Linked DNA regions of Danio rerio. The protein of the gene in region 1 purifies or fractionates together with the protein of each later gene. This does not show direct contact. Links are inferred from orthologs where the notes say so. Each region holds a gene or a part of one and is shown in the gene's direction. Other genes may lie near its edges.

Evidence for each region.
Region 2: the proteins of cdk13 (region 1) and ccnk purify together in Homo sapiens (affinity purification with mass spectrometry; 4 studies listed by BioGRID and IntAct, counting the BioPlex papers as one, with this or other methods). This does not show direct contact. The link is inferred for Danio rerio from reciprocal best matches to the Homo sapiens genes CDK13 and CCNK.

The regions. Positions count from the first base shown.
Region 1 is NC_133199.1:1,072,359-1,088,102, reverse strand, and holds the end of cdk13 (cyclin-dependent kinase 13), read left to right. Parts: intron 1-910; coding exon 911-967; intron 968-1,081; coding exon 1,082-1,183; intron 1,184-3,439; coding exon 3,440-3,517; intron 3,518-3,697; coding exon 3,698-3,814; intron 3,815-5,593; coding exon 5,594-5,725; intron 5,726-7,192; coding exon 7,193-7,395; intron 7,396-7,505; coding exon 7,506-8,003; intron 8,004-9,947; coding exon 9,948-10,420; 3' UTR 10,421-11,187; downstream 11,188-15,744. Other genes in the region: napga (N-ethylmaleimide-sensitive factor attachment protein, gamma a), read left to right, coding at 13,966-14,017. UniProt on the Homo sapiens protein: Cyclin-dependent kinase which displays CTD kinase activity and is required for RNA splicing.
Region 2 is NC_133195.1:5,236,639-5,251,549, forward strand, and holds the end of ccnk (cyclin-K), read left to right. Parts: intron 1-232; coding exon 233-402; intron 403-2,162; coding exon 2,163-2,365; intron 2,366-4,005; coding exon 4,006-4,039; intron 4,040-4,154; coding exon 4,155-4,223; intron 4,224-5,587; coding exon 5,588-6,153; 3' UTR 6,154-6,374; coding exon of another isoform or gene 6,375-6,422; 3' UTR 6,423-6,452; exon of another isoform or gene 6,453-6,876; 3' UTR 6,877-7,189; exon of another isoform or gene 7,190-7,235; coding exon of another isoform or gene 7,236-7,350; exon of another isoform or gene 7,351-7,609; 3' UTR 7,610-9,673; coding exon of another isoform or gene 9,674-9,774; 3' UTR 9,775-10,313; downstream 10,314-14,911. UniProt on the Homo sapiens protein: Regulatory subunit of cyclin-dependent kinases that mediates activation of target kinases.

The DNA.
Region 1 (15,744 bases):
TGTCTTGATTGTATTTATAGATAGGAAAATACTCACAACACATGCAAATACAGAAATGCACTGCGAATCGTACAGACCACAACGAAAATGTGACCCTAAACAGTTTCTAGATTGTTTATTAGTTTTTATGGAGATGCGAATAGTAAACATCAATTCATCAATCAAGGACTAATGGAAATACGCAGAACACATGGAAATACAGCAATGCACTGCAACGAAAAAGGTGTCGGGGTAATTTATAGATTGTTTATTAGATTCTACGGAGATTGATGTAATATTTTAAATTCTTTCCAAATAGAAATATTAAGTCATCTCATATCGCAATTTGTATGGCAAAATATTGCAATGCTGGATTTTTCCAGTATGGTGCAGCCCTGATGCATGTCACTAATCAAAATTTGAGTTTTGCTGGATTTACAGTAGGCAGTCTGCTGAATATCTTAACAGAATATGAATTTTTTAACTTAATATTATAAATATTTTTGGCACTAAATAAAAAAGCATACATTGTATTTTTGTTTATTACCAGAATAATCAATGTTTTTGTGGTCCGGGTCACAAATGTGGTTATTTTATTGGCTTTTTTTTTTTTTTTAATAGATGAATAAAAATTTTTTAACAAAATAAATATAACAATACATGTATAATAAATATTTATTACCAATCATTTTGTGTTTTAGCCAAGTGTGTCCAGAATTGTGAAATTTTCCTTTCAATGCATTAAAATGAAATGCACTAAATGTAAATAAAACAATATTAATTGTAAAGATATTAATATTAAACGATTAATATTAATAACAATATTAATATATATTCCACTGTAAAAAGTTACCTCATAGAAAGGAAGACCGAGAGATGTGTCTGTCGAATCTGCCATGTAATTAACATGTAAATATGTGTTGTATTGTAGGGGTCAGATCAAGCTGGCAGACTTTGGACTGGCTCGCCTGTATAACTCTGAGGAGAGGTACGTAACTCCAGACATTTTTCAGACGCGAGGAGTGTAAATCAAGCAGATCAGACTTATGATTGTGTGTGTGTGTGTGTGTGTGTGTGTGTGTGTGTGTGTGCTGTTCTCCAGTCGACCCTACACCAATAAGGTGATCACACTGTGGTACCGGCCACCAGAGCTGCTGCTGGGAGAAGAGCGATACACACCGGCCATCGACGTCTGGAGCTGCGGGTGAGATGCTACTAACAAAATCTTATGTATAGACACACACACACCTAATAAACATACAGCTCAGCATGTACCCCAGTAAACCCCAACTTGTGTATACACGCACCTCATGAACACACAGTTCAACATGTACAGTTGAAGTCAGAATTATTCGCCCCCTTTTGATTTTTTTGATTAATTTTTCTCTTTTTATAAATATTTCCCAAATTATGTTTAACAGAGCAAGGAAATGTTCGCAGTGTGTCTGATAATATTTGTTCTTCTGGAGAAAGTCTTATTTGTTTTATTTCGGCTAGAATGAAAGCAGTTATTAATTTTTTAAACACCATTTTAAGGTCAAATTATTAGCCCCTGTAAGCTACATATTTCTTTTCCGATGGTCTCCAGAACAAACCATCGTTATACAGTATCTTGCCTAATTACTCTAACCTGCCTAGTTACCCTAATTACCCTAGTGAAGCCTTTACATGTGACTTTAAGCTGTATAGAAGTGTCTTGAAGAATATCTAGCCTAATATTATGTGCTGTCATCATGACAAAGAGAAAATAAATCAGTTATTAGAGATGAGTTATTAACACTGTTATGATTAGAAATGTGCTGAAGAAATCTGCTCTCCGTTAAACAGAAATTAGGGGGAAAAATAAACAGTAATTCTGACATCAACATGTATATTGTTGCGCAAAATGTATATTTTAGCGCCGGCAGCTCGCTCTCTGCAACTCTCACATGGTCGCCAACTGAAGCTAAGCAGGGCTGGGCCCGGTCAGTGACTGGATGGGAGACCACATGGGAAAGCTGGGTTGCTGTTGGAAGTGGTGTTAGTGAGGGCGGCAGGGGCGCCCAACCTGCTGTCCGTGTGGGTCCTAATGCCCCAGTATAGTGAAGGGGACTCTATACTGTCAGTGAGCGCCGTCTTTTAGATAAGATGTTAAACCGAGGTCCCGACTCTCTGTGGTCGTTAAAAATCCCAGGATGTCCTTCAAAAATAGAGTAGGGGTTTAACATCGGCATCCTGGCCAAATCTGCCCACTGGGCTCTGTCCATCAAGGCCTCCTAACCCTCCCCATATCATAAGTGGCTTCATCACTCTGTTTCCTCTCCACCAATCAGCTGGTCTGCGGTGTAAATGGCTGCCGTCGCATCATCCAGGTGGATTCTGCACACTGGTGGTGGATGAGGATCCCCCCCCCCCCCCCCCCTCTTGTGTGAAAACACTTTGAGCGTCCATAATACACTACATATAATGTATAACATAATGTAAGAAATTATTATTAATGCTATTATATCTCAGCAGACGCCAGAAACGCCAGCACGTTTATACGCGTGTCATTACTATTTATTAATCTGATTTTATATAGTTTTGTATTCTTAATTAATTTTCACATAACACGATGCCCGTGGTTAAACGTAAGAAATAATATATTAATAACTGCTAGTATAACAACAAATTTAACAACAAATGAAATGCTGTATGTAAGATACGTTTATACGCTTAATGTAATTTTATTGATCAGTTTTTTTAATTAATAGCTTTGTTTTGATAGATTTTTAATAAGATTGTCATTCGCCAAGTGTTGATGGCGTAGGATTGTAGTTCTTTCTTATTGAAGCAGTCTTGATGTTTCTTCAAATACTGTTTCTGCTTCAAATCGATGTTTGCAGCACGATCGTCATCATGGATCACGGATAAAACAAGATTTTTGCTGCTTATTCAAACTGCTTATTTAAAATAAGCCAAAACGACGTAGTTCTTGTTTTGTAAGGACAACTTAATGCGCAACATGCAAACAGACTTTTCATTTGCAGCCAGGCAACCCGCAGGCTTTCGGTGAACCGTCTTTCTATCGCAAAATATCACGTTTAAGATCTGATTTCTTTCCTCACTGCCTGTTAGATATACGATATGAAGTGGGTCTCGGATCAGCACTGCGTTAAACTCCGTTTCCCCCTGCGGTGTCTTTAATACGTGGCCGGTTATTTTACCCCAGTGTTTTCAATGGAATTTCTGCGCTCGCCTGTTGCCGGTGACGGCGCTAGCGGTTACAACTGTCGTTCATCTCGTTTTACGATTGAACAACTAAACGAATCCATTTAACCGAATGTATTGTAATTACATTACAGCATCGATGCTGTGAAAACAACCTTGTGGAACTGAAATACGTTAAGCTTTCACCGAATGTTTATCGTCGGCTGTGAAACTCTAGCTCTGCATCGCTCCCATTTTCACCTAATGTTTATGAACCGTTCACGTCACGCAGGTGCATTCTGGGAGAGCTTTTCACAAAGAAGCCCATCTTCCAGGCCAATCAGGAGCTAGCGCAGCTGGAGCTCATAAGGTAACAGCACGTTTCTTCTACTGTAAGTTAAGTGTAAATGTAGAAAAGTGTCTTGCTAATGCATGAAGTCGATGTTATTATTGTAATGTTAACTGTTTTATTGATTATATAGGGATCTTGCCATGAAATAGAAGTAATACAGTAATAACCAACAAATCAATAATCTTGTGTGTTGTGCAGTCGTATCTGCGGCAGCCCCTGCCCTGCCGTGTGGCCGGACGTCATCAAACTGCCCTACTTCAACACCATGAAACCAAAGAAACAGTACCGGCGGCGGCTGCGGGAGGAGTTCGCTTTGTGAGTAATCAGAGAGGAATCTCACAAGTTCAGTCTGTTTTTAAAGTGCAGGTCATGTTCAGTATTTTATGGAGAGCTAATATGCAGGAAAAAAAAAGCTTTTAAAAGGGGTTTGGAACCAGTTGTGTGTCAGCAGTGTGTGCGTTTCTACAAACCGTAATGGTAAACAAACAGTCTGCAGAAACATTTTGATTGACATTCTCCCTTGTTATGAGAGGGGGTAAGCCCCGCCCACTAGTGGCCATCTCTCCCTCATTAGCATAAACAGCAGCCCCTCAGTGAGAAGCAGCCGTCTGTGCATTAGCCATGAGAGTGTTTGAGCTGCTGAAGATGACGTCAGCATAGACTACAGGGTTGTTACTGGTGCTGGAAATCCTGGAAAACGCTTGATTTTTAATACAGTGTTTTCAATGTTAGAAAAGTGCTTGGATTTTGGACAATCTGCTTGAATTTGAAATTGCTGGGCTCAAATTTGACTGTTTCGGTTGCATGTGCGCAAAATTTCATCTGTGACCTCTGAATATGTTTGGGAGCATGTGTGCGAGGGCTTAAATTGTTTTTGCGCGACTAGTTTTTATTGCAAAATGTTCACCGCATGCTTGCTTTTATGGAGCTAATATTATGCCAAAACAATCTGAATTTGAATTGTGTTAAATTTAATTAATGATAATTGTAAGCTAAAAAATGTGATCACATGCTATTAAAAATGTTAAACCGAATTTAAATTTCTTTACTCGATTATTGAACATCCAAAATTTAAAAAAAAATTTAAGTCAGATTTTTATAGACATATTTTAACACTTTAGATTTTTTGGTTCTGAATTCAAAGACTGCAGATATTGGGTATGTAAAAAATACAGTTTTAAGTTTTTAAGAATTCAAACTATTCAAATTTAGATTGTTTTGGCATTATTAGCTTCATACTTATTTAGGAAACATTCGCCCAGAGTGCAACTTTGCATCTGAAACGCCAATTCAATGACTGTAAAAAAAAAAAAAAAAGCAATGCACTTGAAATATCATGAATGACTGGTCACGAAAGTTTGGTTCTACACCCAATCAAAATCTGACTGTGAGCTCATTTCTCGAGATATCAACTTTAGGTAGAAAGAGACCAAACTGAAAAACCTACTTCATCCAATAACTGTACTTTTTTGATTTATTTATTGAACCGTCCCAATAAATCTACGCTCCAAAGTGTTCAACAATTTAAGTGTAAATGTCGTATTGTGTTTTTAAAAATAGCACAATGGATTTAAATGTGAATGAGTACATACAACATACATGAACATGATTAACCGTGGTTGTTAGGTGCTGGAAATGCATACAAATGCACCTTGAAAGTGCTTGGAAAGTGCTGGAATTTGAAGTTGGAAAAGGTGTAAGAACTCTGAGACTAGGAGGATTATAGATGTGGAGTTTTAGATGAACAGCGACAGGAGCGGCATAGACTGACAGAGGCATGAAGCGCACACTGACCAACGACAACATGCAGACCCGAGCAGCACTGACAACGCAGCTAGTGCTGTTTTGTATCTGCCACTATACTGACACGCAGGCATTTGTAGCTCCGCCCTCTTCTGAAAAGAGCACAATCTCATTTGAATTTAAAGCGACGGTCACCAAAACACCACAATCGGGATCAAAGCCTAAAAGGGTCAGTTTCAGAGAGCTGGAGAACGTCATCTGTGTGCTGTTCTCAGCTCAAACTCACACACACTCTACAGACAGCAGCTTTAAAAAGTCTTGAAAGTAATATCGTTGGTTTGTCTGTTTCAGTATTCCCCTGATGGCTCTGGATTTGTTCGATCACATGCTGGCTCTGGACCCCAGCAAACGCTGCACTGCAGAACAGGCCCTGAACAGCGACTTCCTCCGAGACGTGGATCCCGCCAAGATGCCTCCACCCGAGTATGAGAGATTAGCTTTAAACTGTCGACTTTAATCCTGTACTTCTACTTTGTTTGTTGTTCTTTTTTTTTGCCAGAATAATATTTTGTTTTGCAGTTATTAATATTTTTATTATTATGATTATTATATTTTATTTATTTATTTATTGGACTTGGGCATTACATTTGGATAAGTATTTTTTTTGAACGAGTAGTCCTGAAAACACACACATGCATTAAAATGATTTTATCATCAGCGTTTATTCATGTTTTAGATGAGTAAAACAAAGTCATATTTATCATAAAAATTCCATATATTTTTGAGAGTTTCTACAAGCGTCAGGGCAGATTTATACTTCTGCGTCAAGCGCACGCATATGGTCCGGCGAAGCCTTCGTGTGGTCCGATAGCCCTCGCCGCTGACGCACACCTTTTAAAAAATGTAACCGCAACTGCACCTAGCACAAGCTCTGCGATCGGTCTGTTTGGTAGCTGTGACGAGTGTGGCCGATGCTGAGAGCAGTGAGCCCGATGGAGGGATCGCGGACAAGTGTCGACTCCCGCGAAGGAGCTCCGGATGGAAACTTTTGTTTCGCGTTTACCTTACTATTAAAGTTGTCGCACATCTGCCGGTTTAAGGGAGTTTCAGCTACTCGTACGTTAACAAAACACCCGCAGTGAAACTCGACACGGACAAACATAAAAGCCTACTGCCATCAAGTGTTTTGGAAGCGTTATTGCAGAGCAACACAAGCAGCGCACGGAAGTATAAACGCACGAGTACACGCAAGACTTGCACCGTGGGTCACGCCGATCGCTCCACGCGGAAGTATAGAGCAGGCTTCGGCCTGACAAACAAGAAACAAAACAAACAATTCATCTGAAAAAAAACAAATTACAGAAAGTTTTCCTGAAAAAGTAGGTTAATTTATTTAAACTTAAACTTTATTATTTATTTATTTAAAAATAAGTACATTGCGAAAGATGTCCTGGCATTTTTTTCACTAAACGTTTCACAAAATTCATCCAAATGTGTCATTTTAAGTAAAGAAAATATAATTTGGATAATATGAAATAAATAAAACGACGAATAAATGTTGTGTATTTCATTAAAATCTTTTAGTCCAGGCTTTTCATTTTTCCGATTATATCGATTCATCTCTTAAAGCCGTCTACGTCAAGGATGACGGCTATAACGATAAAGCGACGCACAGCCCAGCCGCAGCTACACCGATATATCTGCTGAAGTGCTACTGTAACCTTTTTACCTATTTTTCCTCCTAAAAACAAACAAAACGGACGGCCAATCAGAATCCATCCTGTTTTAACGAGCTCGAGCGTTTCAAGCGAGTGTCGTCACATCAGCGCGTGCACTTCTAATGAGCAGAACGATCCTGTGCGTTAATGCTGAGGCTAACACAGTTATGCGTGTTGCTGTGAGCAGATCTTTACCCTGTGTGTGTGTGTCTCTGTGTCTGCGTTTGTTCAGCCTCCCCCTGTGGCAGGACTGTCACGAGCTGTGGAGTAAGAAGCGGCGGCGGCAGAAACAGATGCCGGAGGAGCTGACGGCCCCTAAAGCCCCTCGCAAAGAGCTGGGTCTGGACGACAGCCGCAGCAACACACCGCAGGGATTCGGCACCGCCGCGGGAGGACACAAACCGCAGGGCAGCGCAAACGCTGCGGGCCTACTGGGTGAGTGAGCGCGCGCATGCGCAGATGCACACGCGCACCTGATTCGATCGCTTTGCGAATTTGAACGAACGTGAATAAATTGCTTCCAAATCTCCGTCTCTTTCCCACAGACCCCAAATCGGCCAACTCTCAGCTGACTCAGGATCAGCTGGCGGTGTTGCTGAATCTGCTGCAGTCCAAGAGCTCTGCGGCGGGGGGATCCGCTCAGTTCATGCAGACCGTGAGCTCCAAGATGAACCCTGAGACGCTGCAGCAGCTGAGCAAAGCCCTGCCGTGCGGCCTGCCGGAGTCCGAGCGTCCCCCGGAGCCGCCCGCGCTCCCCAAAACCTCTAAAGCCCTCCCGGCGGCCGCGTCGGGGCCCGGAGCGCCCCGCACTCCGCCCATGCCCAAACCTCCGTCTCCGCCCGGCCCGCAGCAGGCCGACGGAGAGAGCTCGGCCTCCGCCACGCAGACCGCCGTCACCATGCTGCTGGCTCAGCTGCTGAACGTCCAGCAGGGGGCGCCGGGGGACGGGACGGGCTTCGACGGAGCGGACGGAGGAGTCCCCAATACGGCTCCGGCGCCGCCGGAGATCAGACAGCCGCCGGAGCCCAGCCCCGTGTCTCCGGGTAAGATCGCACGGCAGGAGTCCTTTAAAAGATTGTGCGAACATTTAAAGGCGCCGTATGAGTTTCGGACACTCCACGACTCGCGCGCAGATATTTCAGAAGCGCGCTCGGCGAACGTTCTCGTTTATTCGAAAAGCAACGGCGAAGCCAAATGCAAGACGCGAGACGCAGATTCGGTTCCGCGTGAGGTTGTCGACGGAGCGGAGGAACTACGACGTCGCTTTGTAAGCTAATCGGCCGCTGGCATGAAACCGGTTCTGTCGTGAAAACCCCTGTAGGATATTCCCTTAGGCTTTTCGAAGATCGCGAATAACAAGCTCCGCGTTCGAACGCCGTTCGTCACACTCCTAACCCTGGCACGATAATACGAGTTGGAGCGCTTTTGGATCTTGAATGCGAACGCAAGAATCGAAAAGCTAGCGTTAGGCCACAAACGGACTACGGAGCCCTCGGGGCGCTCGTCTGTGACGTCAGCGTCGCCCTGCCGCAGACGACTTTTCGAACTTATTTGTAGAAATAACGTCCGTGACAAAGAGTTTATCTCTCTGTTTATTATATTATAATCCACGCTATATATCACGAACAAACAAATGCGCGAAAACTCGGTCCCGGAGGGCCGGCGTCCCGCAGATTTCGGCTCCAGCTTCGCGGGAAACGCGTCCGTTTCGCTTTACGGTCGTTCCGAAAGTTTTAAAACCGCGTATAAATCTGCCTGCGTAGTGTTATCGTCAGACACGCTTAAATAAGCGTATCGCTCAGGAACGAGTCTATCGAACGCCTGCGAGTTCCATCGTGGACGCGGAGCAACGTTCGACGTTCCTTTTTTGTCACGGAGTACAGCGAAAAGCGGCCCGTGCGGTCACGTATGCATTACGTTTTACGGAGGAGTGTAAATATCACGGTTACGACGAGGTCAAACGCGTTCAGACGAAGAAAAAAAAGACGGAAAATAACTCGATCGTGAAAACGACAGTTAACGCGCATGCGTTTATACGCATTTATTCACGCGTTTGCGTTACCGAGAGCAGGAGAGAGACTGGCTGCGCCGGTTAGCGGTATCTTCGTAAGGCCGTTTATTAAAATAAACGATGGACAAACGGATCCGTCTCGACGTCCTTTACGGGTGAAGGATTTATCTGCACGCGATCCGCGTTCCCGATTGGAATAACGCTACGAACTATAAAACGGCATTCGTGAAAATGCTCGAACGACAGACGAATCGTTTACCGCGGGCTATCGTTTAACAGCAGACGGCGCTCTAGGCCGAAGGTTTCCGAAGTTTTCGGTCCGCGACCCCCGAAAAAACGACGCCGGCAATTCGCGACCCTCCGTGTTCCTCCGAGGTGGTCGTACAGGTGCGAAGCTCGCGAAACGGTTCACGCGCGCCGAGTCCGTCGTTCGTTTAATTTGGGGGAACGCCGGAGATCATCCGCTACGTTCGGTCGCGGCCTGCGTTCCGTTTCGTCGTACCCGAGTGCCGCAAAGGCATCGGAAAGTTAACCCCGGTGCCGCGAAACGGATCTTCCGCGTCCAACCCCGCCGCTGCGTCTTTAACGCGGGGGCGTCCGAACTCGGTCCCGGAGGGCCGGCGTCCCGCAGATTTCGGCTCCAGCTTCGCTGGACGCGCCCGTTTCCGGAAAGCCCAGCGAGAGCTCGATCGTCCGGCCCGGGTTCGACGTGACGACACCCCGGAGGTCGCAACGCGACGGCGGAAAATGCGCGCCGCGACCACAGAACGGCATTTTTTTCTCTTGCGGCATTTTTTTCTCGCGCTCGTTGTGGTAATTTGGGCGAAACGAATCAGATTTTTGGAAATCGCCAAGCGACCCCCGCCGCCGCCGCTCTAGGCTAGCGTTCGACAGCGGGGCGTCGCGGATGCGGTCGTTAGCTCTGTGTCGCCGTAGGTGATTTTCGTCTCTCACCCTCGTGTGTTTTTCGTTGCAGATGCGGAAGGCGGCGGCGTCCCGTCCTCCGGGACTCTGGACTCTCTCTCCATTCTCCCGCCGGACCAGAGACCCCCGGAACCCCCGGAACCTCCGCCCTGCGCCGACCTGGACTACCGGCACGCCCCCGAGAGCCGACCGGCGGAACCTCCTCGACCCCCGGAGCCGGACTATCCTCCGGACGGATCGGGATACGGGGGAGATTTCGGCCGGCCCCCGCCGCCGTTCCCGCACGCGGGCTTCTCGGACAGCTACCTCGGCCGCATGATGGGGGCCGGCCTGCCTCCGCACGCGCCGCTGGGCCCGGAAGCCTTCGCTCGCGGAGATCATGGCATGGTGTTCAGCGGAGATCAGGACCATCGGTTCGAGTACAATCACGGGCCGCCGCCGCCCCCGCCGGGACAGCCCTGGACTTCCCCGTCCCAATCGCTGGGGTACGCGGCGGCGCTGCGGGGTCGAGGACTGCCTTTTTGATGCCCCGCGGAGAGAGAACCGACCGACCCCGAACGCCTCGGAGAAAAGAAAGACTCCGAAAGAGGCGCGCGGTCGCCCCGAAACCAGCACTAAACCCGTTTGTAACGTTTGTAAAACCGGAGGGACGGACGCGGCGATGGGAACTTTTTTTTGGGATTTCCCGCTCGCGCCGTTTCGTAGATCCGTTCGGTTTCTCCGGACGGATTTGGTTTGGTAATCTGTATTCCGCTGCTGTCTTTTAAATTAAAACCAGACCTTTCTTTGTTTCGGGGGCGTGCGTTCGCCGCGCGGTAAGTGTTTTTAGCAGCTGCGCGAGGACGGACGGACGGAAGGACGGACCTCCAGTATTACGATGTTTTGCACTACTGAACAAAGTAGGCGGACGCGAGCGGAGCGCTGTGCCGCATCTGCGCGCGTGACGAGCGGCGACGTGAGGCGTTTTATTTTGGGTCGGTTTCTTTTTCTTTTCTTGATGATTTTTGACCGCTCCGGGCTCCGCCCGAAGGTTTCGAGGGGTCCGGGGAGACCGGCAGCACTTGTGCGATCTGGTGAATCTACTGAACGGATCGGCGCTGCGTTTCGTCACCAGCTCTTGTCTATAGCCATTGTAAAATCGATAGTTAAAGAGACGTTTGACCTGTTTTTTGTTTGTTTTTTTTCTCTCGAGGAGACGAGCGACGATGCTTTCTTTTTTTTTTTTGTTTTGTATGAAGATGTTTTGTCCCCCTCTTTGGCAGACGTTTATTAAAGAAATGCCAACAACGGAAGACGTGCCTGTGTTTTTATTTTTTGCAAGCGTTCGCATTTAATGGGTCATGATTAACCGCATTCAGATTAGCGTATCCCCAACGCATCTCAGTCATACTAATAGCATTTGCATGATGTGTGCGTGCGCCATGTATGTAAAATACACTGCGTTTGCGTGTGTGTGTGCGTGTGTTTTGTTAAAGCATGTAGACCAGTTGTTTTCAAACTGTGGTACGCAGGTTTCCTTCTAGTGGTACGAGAAGGAATGAAATATGTCACGTACATGCTACACACATTTCAAAGTTTACCAAAAATGATGTATATAATATGCCATATATGACATATAGCCTATATTTCTGAGGTGATCTGCCATGATTTTTTAACTGTCCAGAGTTGTAGCTGCTTTACTGGGCCTACTGCGCTACTGTGTTTCGATACTGCTCATTTCGGCGGTACTTGGAGAGACAAATTTTTCCTGAGGTGGTACTTGATGAAAAAAGTTTGAGAACCGCTGATGTAGACGATATGCATGTGATGAAAACAGTAACCGGCCGCTTTATTAGGTACACCTTTATTCGTACCCTCTTTTGCCTTCAGAACCGCCTTAATCCTTGGTGGCGGAGATTCAGCAAGCTACTGGAAATGTTCCTCAGAGATGTTGCTCCATGTTGACATGATAGCATCACGCAGTTGCTGCAGATTTGTCCAAGTGGTGCTCGCTGCAGAGCCATTTGAGGAGAGGTGAGCTCCAGAGAGGGGGAGCTTAAGCTTGAGCTCCACCTTTTTTGCACTTCTTCTACGAGTGATGTCACTGGGGGTAGGGTTAGGGGTGGGGTTGGTGTACGCATTAAAACAGCTTACAGTAGGAGGAGCGACAGCTCATGCTCCCCCTCTCTGGAGATCACCTCTCCTCAAATGGCTCTGCAGCGAGCACCCTCTCGATTTGTCGGCTGCGCATCCATGATGCCGATCTCCCGTTCCACCACATCCCAAAGCTGCTCTATTGGATTGAGCTCTGGTGACTGTGGAGGCCGTTCGAGTACAGTGAACTCATCGTCACGTTCAAGAAACCAGTCTGAGATGATTGAGCTTTACGACATGCTGCGTTATCCTGCTGGAAGTAGCCATCGGAAGATGAAGACGCTGTGCTCATAAAGGGATGGACATGGTCAGCAGCAACTCTCAGGTAGGCTGTGGCGTTGATGCTCAATCGGTACTAATGGACCCAAAGAAAATCTCCCCCACACCATTACACCACCACCACCAGCCTGAACCGCTGATACGAGGCAGGATGATCCATGCTTTCATGTTGTCGAGGCCAAATTGTGAGCCGAGCATCCGAATGCGTCAGCAGAAATGGAGACTCATCAGAGCAGCGACGTTTCTCCAATCTTCTATTGTCCAGTTTTGGTGAGTCTGTGTGAATTGTAGCCTCAGTTTCCTGTTCTTAGCTGACAGGAGCGGCACCCCGTGTGCTCTTCTGCTGCTGTAGCCCATCCGCCTCAAGGTTGGACGTGTTGCGCGTTCGGAGATGCTCTTCTGCAGAGCTCGGTTGTACCGAATGCTTATTTGAGTCACTGTCGCCTTTCTGTGCTGGAACCGGTCTGGCCATTCTCCTCTGGCATCGACTAGGCGTTTGCGCCCACAGAGCCGCCGCTCGCTGGATATTTCCTCTGTGTCGGATCTGCATTGTGTTCCAGTGCGTTGACTTGCAGTGTTTAAAATGATCGTTTTGAATGTTTAAGAATTTCAATACGTTTAGTTAGCGTTTTTGCAGAGAAAAGCTGTTAGTGGGGTTAATCAGCAAGTGAATGATCAATGATCGTTGCTTGTATAAAATATTGTAAAAACTGCTTCTTGCGGTGCATCGTTTAGATAAGAGGACGGCAAAATACTTAATGATGTGAACTTTCTGTCAGTTTTTATTCTTATAATTAGTGAATCGTTAATTGTGATCAAATAAGCGAAGTTCATCATCATCATTAATCGGTGCGCTCAGCGTCTACGTTGGGGTGAATAGGAAGTGTCACGTGTTATCCGTCACCTTTCTCAACAGCGGTCATCGCGTTTTGTTTCGGTGAGTTAAATCTGAACGTTTTGTGATATAATGTACGTCAGTCGTGTAAATGATAATAATAACCCCCGAGGACGTGTCCTAAAGTTCAGAAAGCGTTTCAACGTAAGCGTTGCTGCGCGCACTTTTTAAAAACATTGCATAAAACAAACACGTATCTGACATAAAATCGCAGAGATGTCTTTATGTAAATGCGATATGATAAATGATGAAAAAACGCTACAAAACAGTTTAAACGATGATTATTTTTGGTTATGCCCAATAAAGGACGAACAAGTGACGTGCCGCAGATGACGTAGTAACCCGGAAGAAAACGTTCGCCTCACAATCATCATCGTCAGCTGACAACACATCCAGCGTGCGAGCGACAAACGAAGGTTTATTTACAGTATTTAATCATTTATGTGTAACGATTATGGCGCAGAAAATCAGCGAAGCTCACGAGCACATCGCCAAGGCGGAGAAATAGTGAGTAAAGCTGTTGAGTCTGTACTGTAGCGCCTGTGAATGAACATGACCGCACGTTCGCTCCTCTCTAATGTACATTTTCTGACGAATATCAAATTGTAATGGCTTTAATAACCGAGCAGCGTGTCGAATGTCAGCGTTTACTGTTGTTTTAACGTATTACCTGCTTTAGGCTGTCCAGGTGATCGCTTGATGGTGGGTGTGTGAACAGTAAACATCTGTATTTCCTATTCAATGCAGCTTAAAGACGAGCTTTATGAAGTGGAAGCCTGATTATGACAGCGCTGCGTCTGAATACGCTAAAGCAGGTGAGCGGACACCTTTAACACCCTCTCCGTACACACGCTGCTCGTTTGTTTGTTTGTTTAGCGCAATGATTAGCATTTGTTCATTATATGTTGTTTAAATTATATCATATATATATATATATATATATATATATATATATATATATATATATATATATATATATATATACACACACACACACACACACACACACACACACACACACACACACACATATATGTGTGTGTGTATGTATGTATGTGTATATATATATATATATATATATATATATATATATATATATATATATACACACACACACACACAAACACGTGTGTGTGTGTATGTATGTATGTATATATATATATGGGAGCTGTACAGAATAAAGTACAGCTGTTATTGATCTATTTGTTGAGTAGGTAGTTTATCTGTTTATGTTTTTAGTTGTTTTGTTTATTCTTTAATGTGTGTTTTTATTTGTTTGTTCATTTATTCATCTGTTTATTCATACATTAAATTATTTATTTATTAGCTTATTCATTTATTATAGAAAAAAGCATTGTTCCAGTTATCCATTTGTTTATACATTTATTCTTTTATTTATTAGTTTGTTTATTCATTTATTGATCTGTTTATTCATTCATTTCTTTATTTGCTTTTAAAGTAATAATGTCTTGTTTGTTAATTCTTTCATTTATCTCTTGACCCGTGGTGTATTCATTCATTCATTAATTTATTTATTCATTCATTCATATTTATTTATTAAAGTATTAATTTGCTTATTCATTTTTCTATTCATTTATTTCAGTAATTTATTTGTTTGTTAATTTATTTGTTTATTTGTTCATCCGTAATCTGTTTTTCTTTATTAATTCATCCATCCGTTAATTAATGTATTCATTTATTCAATTGTTGGGTTATTTATGCATTAATCCATTTATATTATTTATCTTTTTTTTATTAATTCAGGATTAGCATTCATTCATTCATTCATTCATTCATGTTTTTATGTATTTATTTTTTTGTTTATGGATCCATCTACTCTGTATTCATTCATTCTTTCGATATTCATTTAGGATGTTTATTTTTTTATTAATTGATTGATCAAATCATTTATTTATTCATTTGTTTATTCATGTATTTATTTGTTTGTTTATTTATTGATTTACCCATTAGGTATTCATTTGTTCATTAATTTATTCATGATATTTGTTTGTTGATTCATTCATCAATCCATCCATTTATTTGTTTATTTTTTTTATTCATTCATTTGTCCATTCATTTATTTATGAAAGAATTTGTTCATTGCATTAATCCATTTATTAAGCAGTTATTTGTTTGATTATCGATTCGGCCACTATGCATTTATTTGTGTTATAAATTTATTTGTTCATTCAGTTTATTTATAATTTAATTTGTGTCATTCATTCATACATTACTTAATAATTAATGTATTTATTCATTCATTCATTCGTTCAGTTGGTTGTACATCTCTGGCTAATTGAACTATGATTTATATTTTCATATAATCCTGTAACACTGATAACATTACACAGAAGAGGAAAAAGAGTTTGTGTATTTGTGGATTGCTGCGTGTTTCTGCATGAAATGTGATGCTGCACCACAAAACAAGCCATGAGGTTCATAAGATGTAATGAAGATTTATTACATGAAAGCTGAATTAAGTCTGTAGTCTCTCTCTGATGATGATGATGATGATGTCCTAAAGTTTGATGATGATCTTCTT
Region 2 (14,911 bases), on another chromosome or scaffold:
CATTTTTTCTACGATATAGAAGTCAATGGTTAGAGCTTTCTTCAAAATATCTTCTATTATGAAACATTTTATGACACAAATGATGTAATGAATTTGTAGCGTCATTCACTGAAATCACACTGTCATCAATTTGAAACAACACATTCATAAAGAATTCAAAGCTTCATGAGGCAATGTTTGGAAAGCTGCCGTCACTACCTCAGTGTGGATTTCGTTTGTGTGTATTTTCCAGCCTCTGCACGATGCTGTCGCTTCAGTGGGAGCCAGAGATCATAGCAGTGGCGGTGATGTACCTTGCTGGCCGGCTTTGCAAGTTTGACATTCAGGAGTGGACTTCTAAGCAGTCGTCTCGCCGCTGGTGGGAGCAGTTTGTCCAGGATGTTCCAGTGGAGTTGCTGGAAGGTAAGAGACTGCATCATGTGTTTGACACGGCATGCGTTTTTAAAAGGCTACACAATAAAAAGTTTCAGACATCAGCTTGCACATCATAAGGTATAATACCATACAGTAGGATACAATCCATAGCTTTAAAATCTACCATATAGAGCAGGGGTGTCCAAACTAGGGCTGTTTCTCAATTCCAAGTACGCAGAGAACGGACTTTCGTTCTTGTGGAGCCCGGTTGTGTCCTCGGAAGAACGAACTCGGGAGACCGCGTGGACAGAGAACGTGTCCTGTGAGAAATGAGATGCTGCGTTCTTCTTGATGGTCACATGACCTTCACTTGTTTTAAATGGTAAATTATTTCAACATTACAGCCTTCATACAGGGATTTATTGTTTTTCCCCGTCTTCAAAATATATACTATGCATGAAAACGTTATAAATATACTCAGCACAATATAAATAAACAGATTTTAATATGAATTTCAGCAAACAAACACCCTTAATGTGTTTATTCCACTTAAGATGTTCATGGTTTTGTTTACTTTCACCGTTTTATTTAGGGAAACTCCTGAGGTAAATCAGTGATATCTCTGAACTTTAATAATAAATCTAGATAAAATGCTGCGCTTCCCACCTCCAGTCGCAATGACTTCTGGGACTTCCAGAGTGAGTTCGGTGCTTAAAGGCTGATTTATACTTCTGCGTCAAAAGCACGCTTATGCTACGGCGTTGACACATAGCTCCGCCGCGTGCACCCCGACAGAAACCCACCCCGCGCCGAGCTGCCAACCCGAAGCTCTGCCGCATGCACCCCGACAGAAAGCTGCGCCGAGCCGCTGACCCGAAGCTCCGCCACGTGCACCCCGACAGAAACCCACACCCAGAACTCCGAAATGCACGGCGCCGCGCAAAAGGTACAAGCAATAAATCCGATTACAGCAATTAATGTGGAGAATATTGAACTTGTGTTGAGCCCAATGAGCCTTTTATCATAAAATAGAGCACGGGTGTTCCTTTAGTGATATTGCTTTGACTCACATGCTGAAAATGGCATACGTGCAACAAGAAACTGAGGATATTATCGTGACGCAAGGCTGTCAATCAATATTGGTGGGCGGGGGGACCGCACTCCTACGTAAAGTTGTGGTCGGTCTGAAAATCGCTCCAATTGGTCCACTGTTTTTATGTTGTTAAATTGAAAAAAAAAAGAACTGTGTGCGTTTATATCACCCCAATATGACGGTCTGTACACTATACTTGCACACATGTCTGTCCAAACAGCTTGAAAAGTAGATTTTTCACCATAGGTGCACTTTAAAATGTTCTGTTTAAGTGTAAAGAAACTACTTTTTTTAACCACGACTTTTTCAAGCCACGGTAACCCTTGAGACCGGTTAACATCTCATACCTAACAGTATTTTTAAACGGTTTTATTCAAGACCATGTAACCTCTTTGCACCACTCACCAACGTCAGCTCTAAAGCTGTGGACCAATCAGAAGAACTCAGAGACAGGGCCAGAGTTAAGCCTCTGTTTACAGTAACATGTTGGCATGACGAGGTTTTATTTGAAGGCAACATGGTGGAGATGTTTGTTTTTTAAAACCGTTCTGCAATGTCATTACTTTCCAATACTATGCAGCAATACCTTCAAACACCCTACATTTCTAAACTCAGAAGTTTGATGAAATCTCAAGTCTTGATTCCTTAAGATTTATTGTGACTTATTTCACTGCTTACCTTCTGTATCTTATGGTATTGCTCTTGTGGTTCACAGATATCTGCCACCAGATTCTGGATTTGTACTCTCAGGGTAAGCAGCCGATCCCCCAGCAGCCTCCGATGCAGGACAAAGAGAAACCGCCACCCCCTCCCGCTGCTCCTCCCGGCCAATCAGGGGCGCAGAACCCACCCGCTCAACCTCCCTCCAAGAAGAACTCCCCCCAGGCCAGCCCGCCCGCCAAGATTAAACGCCAACATGTAAGTAAAGCATTTACTATGGGCTACGATACACAGTTAAACCAAAAATCATTCAGACGCCATCAACATTTCTCACATCATCACAGTATATTTACTATAGTTTAGTTTATAGTTTTTTGCTTCACTGTTAAAAACAAACAAGCAAGCTGCTTCTTTAAGCCTAGTTCACACTAGAGGATTTTAAGCCTGATTTGAGCCTGATTTGGAAGTAAACTAGCTCGCCGACAGATCGGGCTGTGATCGGGAAGAAATCTGCGGGTGCTCGGCGCTCGCCACTCTTTATGTGTGAACTACTGAACAACGCATCAACGGGGCTCGTTAACGCGTCGCCGACACCTCGCAGACGGAAATCCAACATTTAGCATGCTCAATATTCCAGACCAGTCGGCCGACTCAACCCCACGTGTGGTCAGATGTAGTGACGAGCTGCAGCCAATGAGAGAGCATATCAGCATGAGCTGAATGCCTGTGTGTTCAGGAGCTCAGCAGAAACATCTGTGATTGGTCAGAATGGGCATCAGTGCACTCGCTTCATTCTGCGTTAGCACAGACACGAGAGTAGGCTATATTAACAGTGGAACTAGAATTCTGTAACTATTAGAATTACCATACTGCTCATTCTGACCGTCCTCATATAAAACACCATATTGCCACAACATATTTACATTCAAAGCTATTATTGAGATATTAAAATTAAGCTTTGAATGTCTGGCATCATATTTAATGACACCATTACCCTAAAAATATAATCTTTTTTTTGGAAATACAGCCTATAAATATGTAGTTAAGATACTAGAACACTTAAAGGTCTTGGCTTTCATTTTCACTTTCAAACAGGAGCTATTTAACGGTACAGAATATGCTGTTTTGAAAGATATCTGGAGTAAATTGATGTTTTTGCCATCAGAAAGTTTTGTTTATGTTAGCAGGAAGTTGCCAGGCAAGAAAATGCACACATATTTAAAGTCACAGCGAAAAGTATCAGACATGCATGCAGTCATTTTGACCAATATGGTAATTTAAGGCAGAAATGCTCAGTTCTTTACTGTTTTGTAAAAAAAAAAAAAAAAACAATGTCAGAAAGAAATACACTGATAGTTAGAAAACAGCAGGGTGTTATAGATATGTTAGTTTTATTTCAAATAGTTATAAAATTACAAAAAATTAAAAACTCTGTGTATCTATCCACTGGAACCTGCAGATGAGTGATTAATCCGCTGATAAATCAGCTGATTTGACGATGTTTTTAAATGCTTTCTCCAAAGCTTGAAACGCTGTCAGTGTTGTCATCAGCACACAAGCAGCCAATAGTGCTCAGCTTTTTCTGACGACTCCTCCCTCAAAATTTCATTGGCTGTGGTTTGGTAGCTTGAATGAGCTGATGGGGAATGAGTTGTTGTCAGATCATGTAGTGTGTGACCCCCTCTTGTGGATCATTCACGTAGTGTCGCGTAGTGTGAACACCACAGAGATTAAAAAACACAAAGTCAAGTCATGTAGTGTGAACGGCACAGCGATCTGCTGATGTTTGAAATCCTGTAGTGTGAACTAGGCTTAAGAAGAAAATGAAAGGATTGGTTAGATAGCTTCTGTATGCGTTAGGTAATCTAAAACTCCTATCTTTTTGTGTTGTTTTGTAGGTCTCTCCTAAAGATGAACCTAAAGCTCCAGCAGGTAAATAATTTTGCTTGCAAAGGACATTTTATAGTTTCACGAGAACCAAGGTCTATTGTGGGATTATGAGTTTCCTATTGTATTAAGTGTAAATTACTCTCTGTCACTGTTTCAGAGCAAGTCGGCTCTAAGATACCACGTCTGGAGAGTCCCATGCCACCTCTTCCTGTTTCTCAACCCCCTGGTGAGACTTGCTTTGTTTTAAAAGAAGCAGCACAATAAATCTTCGCACAGAACTCCGCAGATTTTTAGCCCATCATTAATTGTTTTTTGACTTGATTAAATGTGTGTAAATCTATTTATTCAGTTTTTTTTTTTTATTTATTTCGGTAAAATTATTGACTAATGTAAAAATGTTCATCTGATTTATGTACAATGCAGTTTGTACAGTAATATTTTCTGTCTTTTAGTAGAGATATTATATGAGAGACTTGCTTTGTTTGGCAAATAAAGTCAATCTAATTGGATTTGCATTGTAAACATTAAATAAAAGTTTAAAAGGGATTACTTTTTATTTCACATATTGAGGTTTTAGTTGTGACACTCCCAAAATAATTCCGCAGAAATCCACAGACTGTTACCAAAATTCTCCGCAGAAATAGCAAAAAACATCTGCAGATTCCGTCTGGCCCTGCTCATCACACACAATAAGTAATGTTTAAAAAATAAAGGAAAAGAAAAGACGGAACTTTAAAAATGTACATTCATTGCCGAGCGAGACACATGCTTTCTGTTTATTCTAGAATGCGCATGCTCAGAGTGCGCGAATGGTCACGTGATATACGTTTTTGGTGGCGTAGTGTGGATATGTTCGGAAACGCTAGTGTGGACGCGGATGATTTTTGATCTAAAACGCCATTTTAAAACTAAAACGCGCTAGTGTAAACGAGGCCTTAATCTATTTTTGTAATTTTATGCAAAGATGATGTAACACATACATAAATAAGTAGAAACAGGGGCGGACTGGGACAAAAATTCAGCCCTGGCACTAGTTGCCACACCAGCCCACATTACCACACGATACAGACCCACCCACGGACATGCATATTCACTATTTATTTTAGTGTAAAGATGGTGAAATAATATGACATTCTTGCCAAATTTTGATTATGTCCGGGTAACCTTGGATTGGGTCTTGAAACCAGACGGCAGTTGCCGATTGGGCCGAATGCTTAACATTTATTATTATTATTATTATTTTTATCATCATCATCATCATGATATCATATCTAGCAAGAGATAAAAGCTGTCTGCACATAAAAAAATACATATTAAAAAAAAAACTGACCGGCCCACATTTAAAAATTGGTCCGGCCCTTCTGGCATTTGCCAAAATTGCCAGATGGCCAGTCCGCCCCTGAGTAGAAATGTTCACTCGTTTATTTAAAAATTTAAATAATAAAAGCCTTTAAGGATTCAAGATGCTGATGACCATTAAAGACATCATATCAATCTTGTAAAAAAGATCCATAGGCATTTTTCGATTCGTGCAGTTTAAAATGTAATGAACGCAACCACTAATAATGCCTCTGACATCTTACTACACAGAACGCAAGACTCCATCTGCCATCCCAGCACCTCCTGCAGAAGCCGAGCCAGCTGCGGCATCAGAACTGGACCCAGCACAAGGACCTGCTCCTCCTCTGCCACACGGAGCCCCTCCCCCTCTGCCACACCGCCCACCGCCGCCTCCACCCTCCAGCTACATCATGGGCATGTCCACGTCCAGTTCCTACATGTCTGGGGAGGGGTTTCAGAGTCTGCAGTCTATGATGAAGACCGAAGGGCCCTCCTACGCGCCCATGCCCCCTTCGTACAGGATGGCCTATCACCCACATGTCTATGCGCACACAAACCCTCCCCCTCCAGGTCCTCCGCCTCCAGCCTCTTACCCTCCTCCCAATCTGCCCCCACCCACTCCAGCTTACCCTCCTCCAGGGTACAACCCTAGCTACCCGCCTCCGCCGCCACACATGCCACCAGGGCACAACGTACCCCCTCCGGGAATGGGTTTACCGCCTGCTGGGTACCCTCCTCCTCCTGTTCCACCAGGCCAGCCTCAGCTGCCGCCCCACGCCATCACAGGAATGAACAGAGGGGCATGGATGAGATGAGATGAGAAGATGAGACGCGTGCCTGTATACAATACACAGAGCTCACATCTAAAAACCAACTGATATGTTTTAAAACAGGGGTGTCCAAACTCAGTCCTGGAGGGCCGGTGTCCTGCGGATTTTTGCTCTTCACACCTGCAAGGATGCTTCTAGAAAGCCTAGTAAGAGCTTGATTAGCTAGCCCAAGTGTGTCTGATTGGGGTTGGAACTAAACTTTGCAGGACACTGGCCCTCCAGGACCGAGTTTGGACATGCCTGTTCTAAAATGAGCATTTTTATTCTCATCCTCTCGTCTGTAGGTTCAGTAATTTCACTTTCATGGCAGTTAAGAGTTCCCTTTTATTGTGTTTAAAGTGAAATAAGTGAAGATAAACAGAGGAAGCTGACAAAAATGCTCATTTTAGATGGCAACTAGAGGTTTTTGCTTTGGAACTCTACACCATTAGGTTTCTATGTATTTTGATGCAGGTTTATTGGAAAGTGTAGACCAGGGGTGTCCAAACTCGGTCCTGGAGGGCCGGTGTCCTGCTTATTTTAGTTCCAGTTCCAATTAAACACACCTGAACCAGCTAATCAAGCTCTTTCTAGGTATACTAGAAACTTCTAAGGAGGTGTGTTGAAGGAAGTTGGAGCTAAACTATGCAGGACACCGGCACTACAGGACCGAGTTTGGACATGCCTGTTCTAAAATGAGCATTTTTATTCTCATCCTCTCGTCTGTAGGTTCAGTAATTTCACTTTCATGGCAGTTAAGAGTTCCCTTTTATTGTGTTTAAAGTGAAATAAGTGAAAATAAACAGAGGAAGCTGACAAAAGTGCTCACTTTAGATGGCAACTAGAGGTTTTTTGCTTCTGAACTCTACACCGTCAGGTTTCTATGTATTCTGATGCAGGTTTATTGGAAAGTGTAGACCAGGGGTGTCCAAATTCTGTCCTGTAGGGCCGGTGTCCTGCTTATTTTAGTTCCAGTTCCAATTAAACACACCTGAACCAGCTAATCAAGCTCTTTCTAGGTATACTAGAAACTTCTAAGGAGGTGTGTTGAAGGAAGTTGGAGCTAAACTATGACACCGGCACTACAGGACCGAGTTTGGACATGCCTGTTCTAAAATGAGCATTTTTATTCTCATCCTCTCGTCTGAAGGTTCAGTAATTTCACTTTCATGGCAGTTAAGAGTTCCCTTTTATTGCGTTTAAAGTTAAATTAGCGAAGATAAACAGAGGAAGCTGACAAAAGTGCTCACTTTAGATGGCAACTAGAGGTTTTTGCTTCTGAACTCTACACCATTAGGTTTCTATGTATTTTGATGCAGGTTTATTGGAAAGTGTAGACCAGGGCTGTCCAAACTCGGTCCTGGAGGGCCGGTGTCCTGCTTATTTTAGTTCCAACCCCAATTAAACACACCTGAACTAGCTAATCAAGCTCTTTCTAGGTATACTAGAAACTTCCAAGGAGGTGTGTTGAAGGAAGTTGGAGCTAAACTATGCAGGACACCGGCACAACAGGACCGAGTTTGGACATGCCTGTTCTAAAATGAGCATTTTTATTCTCATCCTCTCGTCTGAAGGTTCAGTAATTTCACTTTCATGGCAGTTAAGAGTTCCCTTTTATTGCGTTTAAAGTTAAATTAGCGAAGATAAACAGAGGAAGCTGACAAAAGTGCTCACTTTAGATGGCAACTAGAGGTTTTTGCTTCTGAACTCTACACCATTAGGTTTCTATGTATTTTGATGCAGGTTTATTGGAAAGTGTAGACCAGGGGTGTCCAAACTCGGTCCTGGAGGGCCGGTGTCCTGCTTATTTTAGTTCCAACCCCAATTAAACACACCTGAACTAGCTAATCAAGCTCTTTCTAGGTATACTAGAAACTTCCAAGGAGGTGTGTTGAAGGAAGTTGGAGCTAAACTATGCAGGACACTGGCACAACAGGACCGAGTTTGGACATGCCTGTTCTAAAATGAGCATTTTTATTTTCATCCTCTCTTCTGTAGGTTCAGTAATTTCACTTTCATGGCAGTTAAGAGTTCCCTTTTATTGCGTTTAAAGTGAAATTAGTGAAAATAAACAGAGGAAGCTGACAAAAGTGCTCACTTTAGATGGCAACTAGAGGTTTTTGCTTCTGAACTCTACACCGTCAGGTTTCTATGTATTTTGATGCAGGTTTTATAGGAAGGTGTAGACCAGGGGTGTACAAACTCGATCCTGGAGGGCCGGTGTCCTGCTTATTTTAGTTCCAATTTCAATTAAACACATCTGAACCAGCTAATCAAGCTCTTTATAAGTATACTAGAAACTTCCAAGGAGGTGTGTTGAAGGAAGTTGGAGCTAAACTATGACACCGGCACTACAGGACCGAGTTTGACACCCCTGCTTGAATTGGAGTGTCAGGAAGTCTATGAAATACCACAGGCTTCCACTTGGGTTCAGGGTTTCACCGTTCTGTAGACTTCATCTCTACTTACTTGATTTAAAAGGATAACCCTGCTGATAAAAACAGCTTAAACCAGCCTAGGCTGGTTGGCTGCTTTTAGCTGGTCGACCAGGCTGGTTTTAGAGGGGTTTTGGTCATTTCCAGGCTGGTTTCCAGCCATTTCCAGCCTGGTCTTAGCTGGTCAGGCTGGGACCAGCTTGACCAGCTTAGCCAGGCTGGGTGCCCAGCCAAAACCAGCCATGTCCAGCTTAATCCAGGCTGGTCAAGCTGGTTTTAGCTGGTTTTAGCTGGATTTAGCTGGGCATTTTTCTAGCCTGACCAGCTAAGACCAGGCTGGAAATGGCCAAAACCCCTCTAAAACCAGCCAACCAGCCTAGGCTGGTTTAAGCTGGATTTTTCAGCAGGGAATTCATCGCTAAAACAAAAAGCTGTCGTGTTCATCTACTCATCCTCCTGCTAAAGGGAAGGTTCATCCATGAATGTTGAGCACAAAGGAAGATATCTTGAAGGTCGTTGGAAACTCCAGGGCATTTTCTTCTTACTATGGATGTCATTGTGGGTTTTGGTTTTCAACATTCTTCAAAATATCTGTTTTCTATATTTGAAAAAACATTTTTAGGACGGCAACAAAAAAAGTCATAGCAGTTTGGAGCCACATAAGGGGTGATTCATTTAATTTTATGGGTGAACTATCCCATAAGGTCTAACAACAGTACAGACCATGTGGATCTAATTGAGGATGTTTTCAGTGTTAAATGCTCTCACACTAGGATGTTTTTGTGATTATAGTGCACAAGTAGATGTATAAATTGGTCTGACAGGAGGTAAAGATTCAGGTCTTTACATTTCTAAGGCTTGAATAATGACAGCATCTGCAGCTTTTTTTAATATAATTGTCACTATTTACTCTCAAGTGTTTCCAAACCTCTATGACAGGGGTGCCCAAACTCAGTCCTTGAGGGCCGGTGTCCTGCATAGTTTAGCTCACACTTCCTCCAACACACCTGCCTGGAGATCTAGTACACCTAGAAAGAGCTTGATTAGCTGCCTCGGGTGTGTTTAATTGGGGTTGGAACTAAAATATGCAGGACACCGGCCCTCCAGGACTGAGTTTGGAGGCCCCTGCTCTGATTTTCTTTCTTCTGTTAAACACAAAAGAAGATATTTAGATGATGATAGAAACCTGTAATCATTGACTTCCATAGTATGTATTTCTCCTACCTATTTAAGTCAATGGTTAGCAGTTGAGTGAAGGGTGAGTAAATGACAGACGTTTTCAGTTTTGGGTGAACTATCCCTTTAAATCCATTCTTATCACCACTTACATTCCAAATACCTTTCTATGAACGAATTATGAATTCTTCATTGTACATATGGGTTATTCTGTATTATCTTTAGAGTGTGTTGCTTTTTTTTGTTTGTTATTTTCCCAGTGTTGTGTTCCTCTGGCTTACTTTTTAGTTAGTTTGTTGCAGACTTCTTCTTATTTCCTTAGCAAGATCGGGAAACCGTCCCACAAATCTTCCTTAGCAGTAGGTAATTCTGATGCCTTTCTGGCATCTTTGACTGACCTGAGATCAGGTGCATTTATTGGGTATGTTGGTTTCATAGTTTCCCGAATGTGCCTTAGTTTGGTTTATAGTTGATCGAGGGACTCTCTGTGCTCAACTAGCTTGTGTTTACCCGTTGATTCTTTTAGGCAGATAATAAAAACTGCGCATTTGCTGATTTGTGCCTTGTGTTGTGTGTTACAACTTTGGAATCCATTCAGCCGGTATCCAAGTCTGGCAGGAGCACGTTTAGCTTAGCTTAGCATAATTGAATCAGTTTTTATCATTAGCGTCTTGCTAATTTTCTGTCAGTCTTAGTATGTTTAGTTCCAACCCTGCTGAAAAATCCAGCTTAAACCAGCCTAGGCTGGTTGGCTGGTTTTAGCTGGTCGACCAGGCTGGTTTTAGAGGGGTTTTGGCCATTTCCAGGCTGGTTTCCAGCCATTTCCAGCCTGGTCTTAGTTGGTCAGGCTGGAAAATTACCAGCCAAATCCAGCTAAAACCAGCTTGACCAGCTTGGTTTAAGCTGGACATAGCTGGTTTTGGCTGGACTCCCAGCTTGGCTAGGCTGGTCAAGCTGGTTTTAGCTGGTCATCTCCCAGCCTGACCAGCTAAGACCAGGCTGGAAATGGCTGGAAACCAGCCTGGAAGTGGCCAAAACCCCTCTAAAACCAGCCTGGTCGACCAGCTAAAACCAGCCAACCAGCCTAGGCTGGTTTAAGCTGTTTTTTTCAGCAGGGAACCCCAATCAGATACACCAGGGCTAGCTAATCAAGCTCTTACTAGACTTTCTAGATACATCTTTACAGGTGTTTTAAGACAAGATGTAGCTAAAATCTGCGGGATACTGGCCCTCCAGGACCGAGTTTGGACACCCCTGGCCTAGTAGGAGCTAGATTAGCTAGCCCAGGTATCTAAGTCTGGCAGGAGCATATTTAGCCTAGCTTAGCATCATTGAATCAGATTTTATCATTAGCATCTTGCTAATTTTCTGACAGTCTTAGTATGTGATGTTACTACAGAAGAGTTGAGCTTTAATTAAGAAAATAATTTAATTTTTGGTTGTCAACTGTCTAATCCAGGCATGTCCAAACTCGGTCCTGGAGGGCCGGTTTCCTGCAAAGTTTAGTTCCAACCCCAATCAGACACTCCTGGGCTAGCTAATCAAGCTCTTACTAGGCTTTCTAGAAACATCTATACAGGTGTGTTTAGACAAGATGAAGCTAAAATCTGCAGGACACTGGCCCTCCACGACCGAGTTGGGAAACCCCTGGCCTAGTAAGAGCTTGATTAGCTAGCCCAGGTATGTCCTGATTTGCAGCCCCGTGCAGAGACTATCCAAGGGATGGTTGTCGCAAACAGAAGAGCGGGGGCACTTCAGATTATTTTGGAAGGGGACTTTCTGCTGATTGGGGTTGGAAATAAACTTTGCAGGACATTGGCCCTCCAGGACCGTGTTTGGACATGCCTGGTCTAATCAAATTCAATGATCTATGCTAGGACGAAGCAGTGGCTCAGTAGGTAGTGCTGTCGCCTCACAGCAAGAAGGTCGCTGGTTCAAGCCTCGGCTCAGTTGGCGTTTCTGTGTGGAGTTTGCATGTTCTCCCTGCACCTCTCTGGGTGCTCCGGTTTCCCCCACAGTCCAAAGACATGTGGTACAGGTGAATTGGGTAGGCTAAATTGTCTGTAGTGAATGAATGTGTGTGTGGATGTTTCCCAGAGATGGGTTGCGGCTGGAAGGGCATCTGCTGCATAAAAACCTGTTGGATAAGTTGGCGGTTCATTCCGCTATGGCGACCCTGGATTAATAAAGAGACTAAGCTGACAAGAAAATGAATGAATGATAAATGAATGATCTATGCTAAGCTAAGCTAAGCTAAAAGATGTCTTGATGATGTCTCTGGGGGCCCCCTAAATGTATGGGCCCTTAGAATCGTCCTAACTTCACCAGCCGACCACCTGTATTAAATTTGGTAGTTCATTCCGACAAGGTAACCGCATTCATTTTGTCTGGGCCAAAGGAAGACCACCAGTCTGCCTAAAGTGGCCCATATTCGTATGCTATCCGGGTATGCTCCTTGTTGGGGAATCGATGGAGAAGAACCATTGTCAGATTTAATTAAATAAAGTTTACTGAGGATAGTTTGCATTGTCATCAGCAGAAGCCAGCCTCAACACTCGCACAGAGTTCATAGGCCTCTCTGCTTACAATCTCAAATCAGCAATAATTATACTTTAACAAGCGTCACCAACTGCGTCAGACATGCAGGTGTTTTAATCTGATAGGTATTATAAAACGTGATAGACTTCCATGAATTGTGTGTGTGTGTGCGTACAAGCCTGAAAAATATCTCCAATGATTACTCGGGCATCAAGCATACAAAGGTCAGAAATAACAGGAGAATATTTCTGTGGTCAGGATGGTCGGAACGCTTTATGTTTCCGACAATGAAGAGCACAGACACATACATAAAGAATACTTATCTACTTCAAGTCTGTCCTTCTCTCTAGCAGGCATCTTATCAGGATAATAAAACAAAGATATCAGGCTAATACTGGGACAGCTACTGAGTCAAGTATTCATTGTTTCACCCAGTAAAATTGGCATCTAGTCACAGCTGTTCATGTGGAACCGAATGGCCTCAGTGACCTCTCAGATGGGCCTGGAGATCCCGAGGAAACAAATCATTTTGTCTTACAGTAAAGAGCAGTGACACACATATCATTACAGTTTTACTCTGAAAGGGGATGACACTACCCACATAGCAAAATATCTCTGGCCCACTCAATCAGCTTTTGCTTGGCCCACATGCCACAGTGAATTGACTGGATCAAGTCTGGCTTCCAGACAAGAGCTAAACTTGGACCATATCTGGGCCAAGTCTCAGCCAAGTTAATAACCAATAACTGAGCCTGAGTGGCGAGGCAGTGGCGCAGTAGGTAGTGCTGTCGCCTCACAGCAAGAAGGTCGCTGGTTCGAACCTCGGCTCGGAGTTTGCATGTTCTCCCTGCCTTCGCATGGGTTTCCTCTGCGTGCTCCGGTTTCCCACACAGTCCAAAGACATGTGGTACAGGTGAATTGGGTAGGGTAAATTGTCTGTAGTGTATGAGTGTGTGTGTGTGAATGTGTCTGTAGATGTTTCCCAGAGATGGGTTGCGGCTGGAAGGGCAAAAATTTGCTGGATAAGTTGGCGGTTCAATCCGCTGTGGCGACCCCGGATTAATAAAGGGACTAAGCCGACAAGAAAATGAATGAATGAACTGAGCCTGAACTGGGCCAGATATGTTGGTGCGTCACGCCCAAATAACAATCGGACTTGGCCCAAATGTGGCCTCATTATGGCACTGCTGTCGTGTTGCCGGCACTGGCATGCATAATGTCAGCCGAATGCAATGGCAATGATGGCACTGTATGCATGATGGCAAACTACATTTGGGCCAGTTGTGAATGGAAGGTGTGTGGCCCAGATCAGGCTGGGTTATGGCTCAGTTTTTGGAGTTTCTGGTTAAAGTATAAACTTATAGCTGAGAATCAGGACCAATAATAAACCTGTTTTGGCCCAGTTCAGGGCCAGTTAAGGGTGTTAAATTGGCTGAGATTTAGGCCGGTGATGGCCCATGTGTGGGCCTTGTGTTTAATCCAGTTATGGGCCACTTCAGGACCGCCATACTTGGGCCAAAGGAAAAGATATTGTGTGGCCCGGAGCTGGGCCAGAAAACATTTGCTCTGTGGGGACTGCAATGAAATTGATAAACCCATAAGCATTTCACTTTAGGCAGCTATGGGCATGCTTTTTCTCGAAGCGACCTGATTGGTAGAATTTATTTATTTATTTTAAAATGATAAAAATTTATTTTAAATTGGGATCAAGACCAAAAACTTACAGGGCCCACATATCAATTATTACATCTGGGCCAAATACTACATTTTACATCTGGCCCAAGTATTGTGTCCCACCTTAAAGATAAGCTCTGCCAAATCAGGGCCATGTTTGGCCCACATGCTGCGCGCCAGTGCCAGCTGAATGCCTGCTGTGCCAGATTTATGCCAAATCTGGGCTAGAATTCTTTGCTACTAGGGTAGTGTATCCTAAAGCCTGGAGTAAAAATGAAATGCTTGACAAAGATCTTATCACAGATAATTTTATGCATCAATTGGTCAAAATTCTGAGAGATTATTATTGGTGTGCACTACTGACAGAACTGACACACTCACACTGAGACCTTTAAAATAATACCCAACATGACTTCATTCATTAATTTGACAGATATACATATCACCTGCGAGACTTGAAATGCAGGAACTCTTAGGTCACCTTTTAATGACCCAGGCCATGTTTTGAGCAGGGTTAAGTGGAGATAACCCAGATAGCATACGAATGTGGGCCACTTTAGGCAGTTATGCTGAAGGTGGTCTTCCTTCAGCCCAGACAAAATGAATGTGAGCCTGAAGTGGCCCTTCTGTACAATGGTAAAGGGGGGCCCAAAGACTCAACTTCATTTATGGGCAATTTCAGGCAAAGATTTGGCACTTATAGCAAAATGTAATCTGAATGTGAGCCCAATGTGCCCCATGTGGAAAATTATAAATTTGACCCAAATGATGGAGGACAAATGTGGGCCACAGCTGCCAAAAATGTGGCATAGTCATTTAAGGGTAATGTGGGTCTAAACCTAAAGTGGCTCACACGTTTAGGTGCAAATGTTGCCTGGTTATCTTAAGACATATATGGGCGACTTTTGGTGCAGCAAGCTCTGGCTATTGTCTGTGAGCCT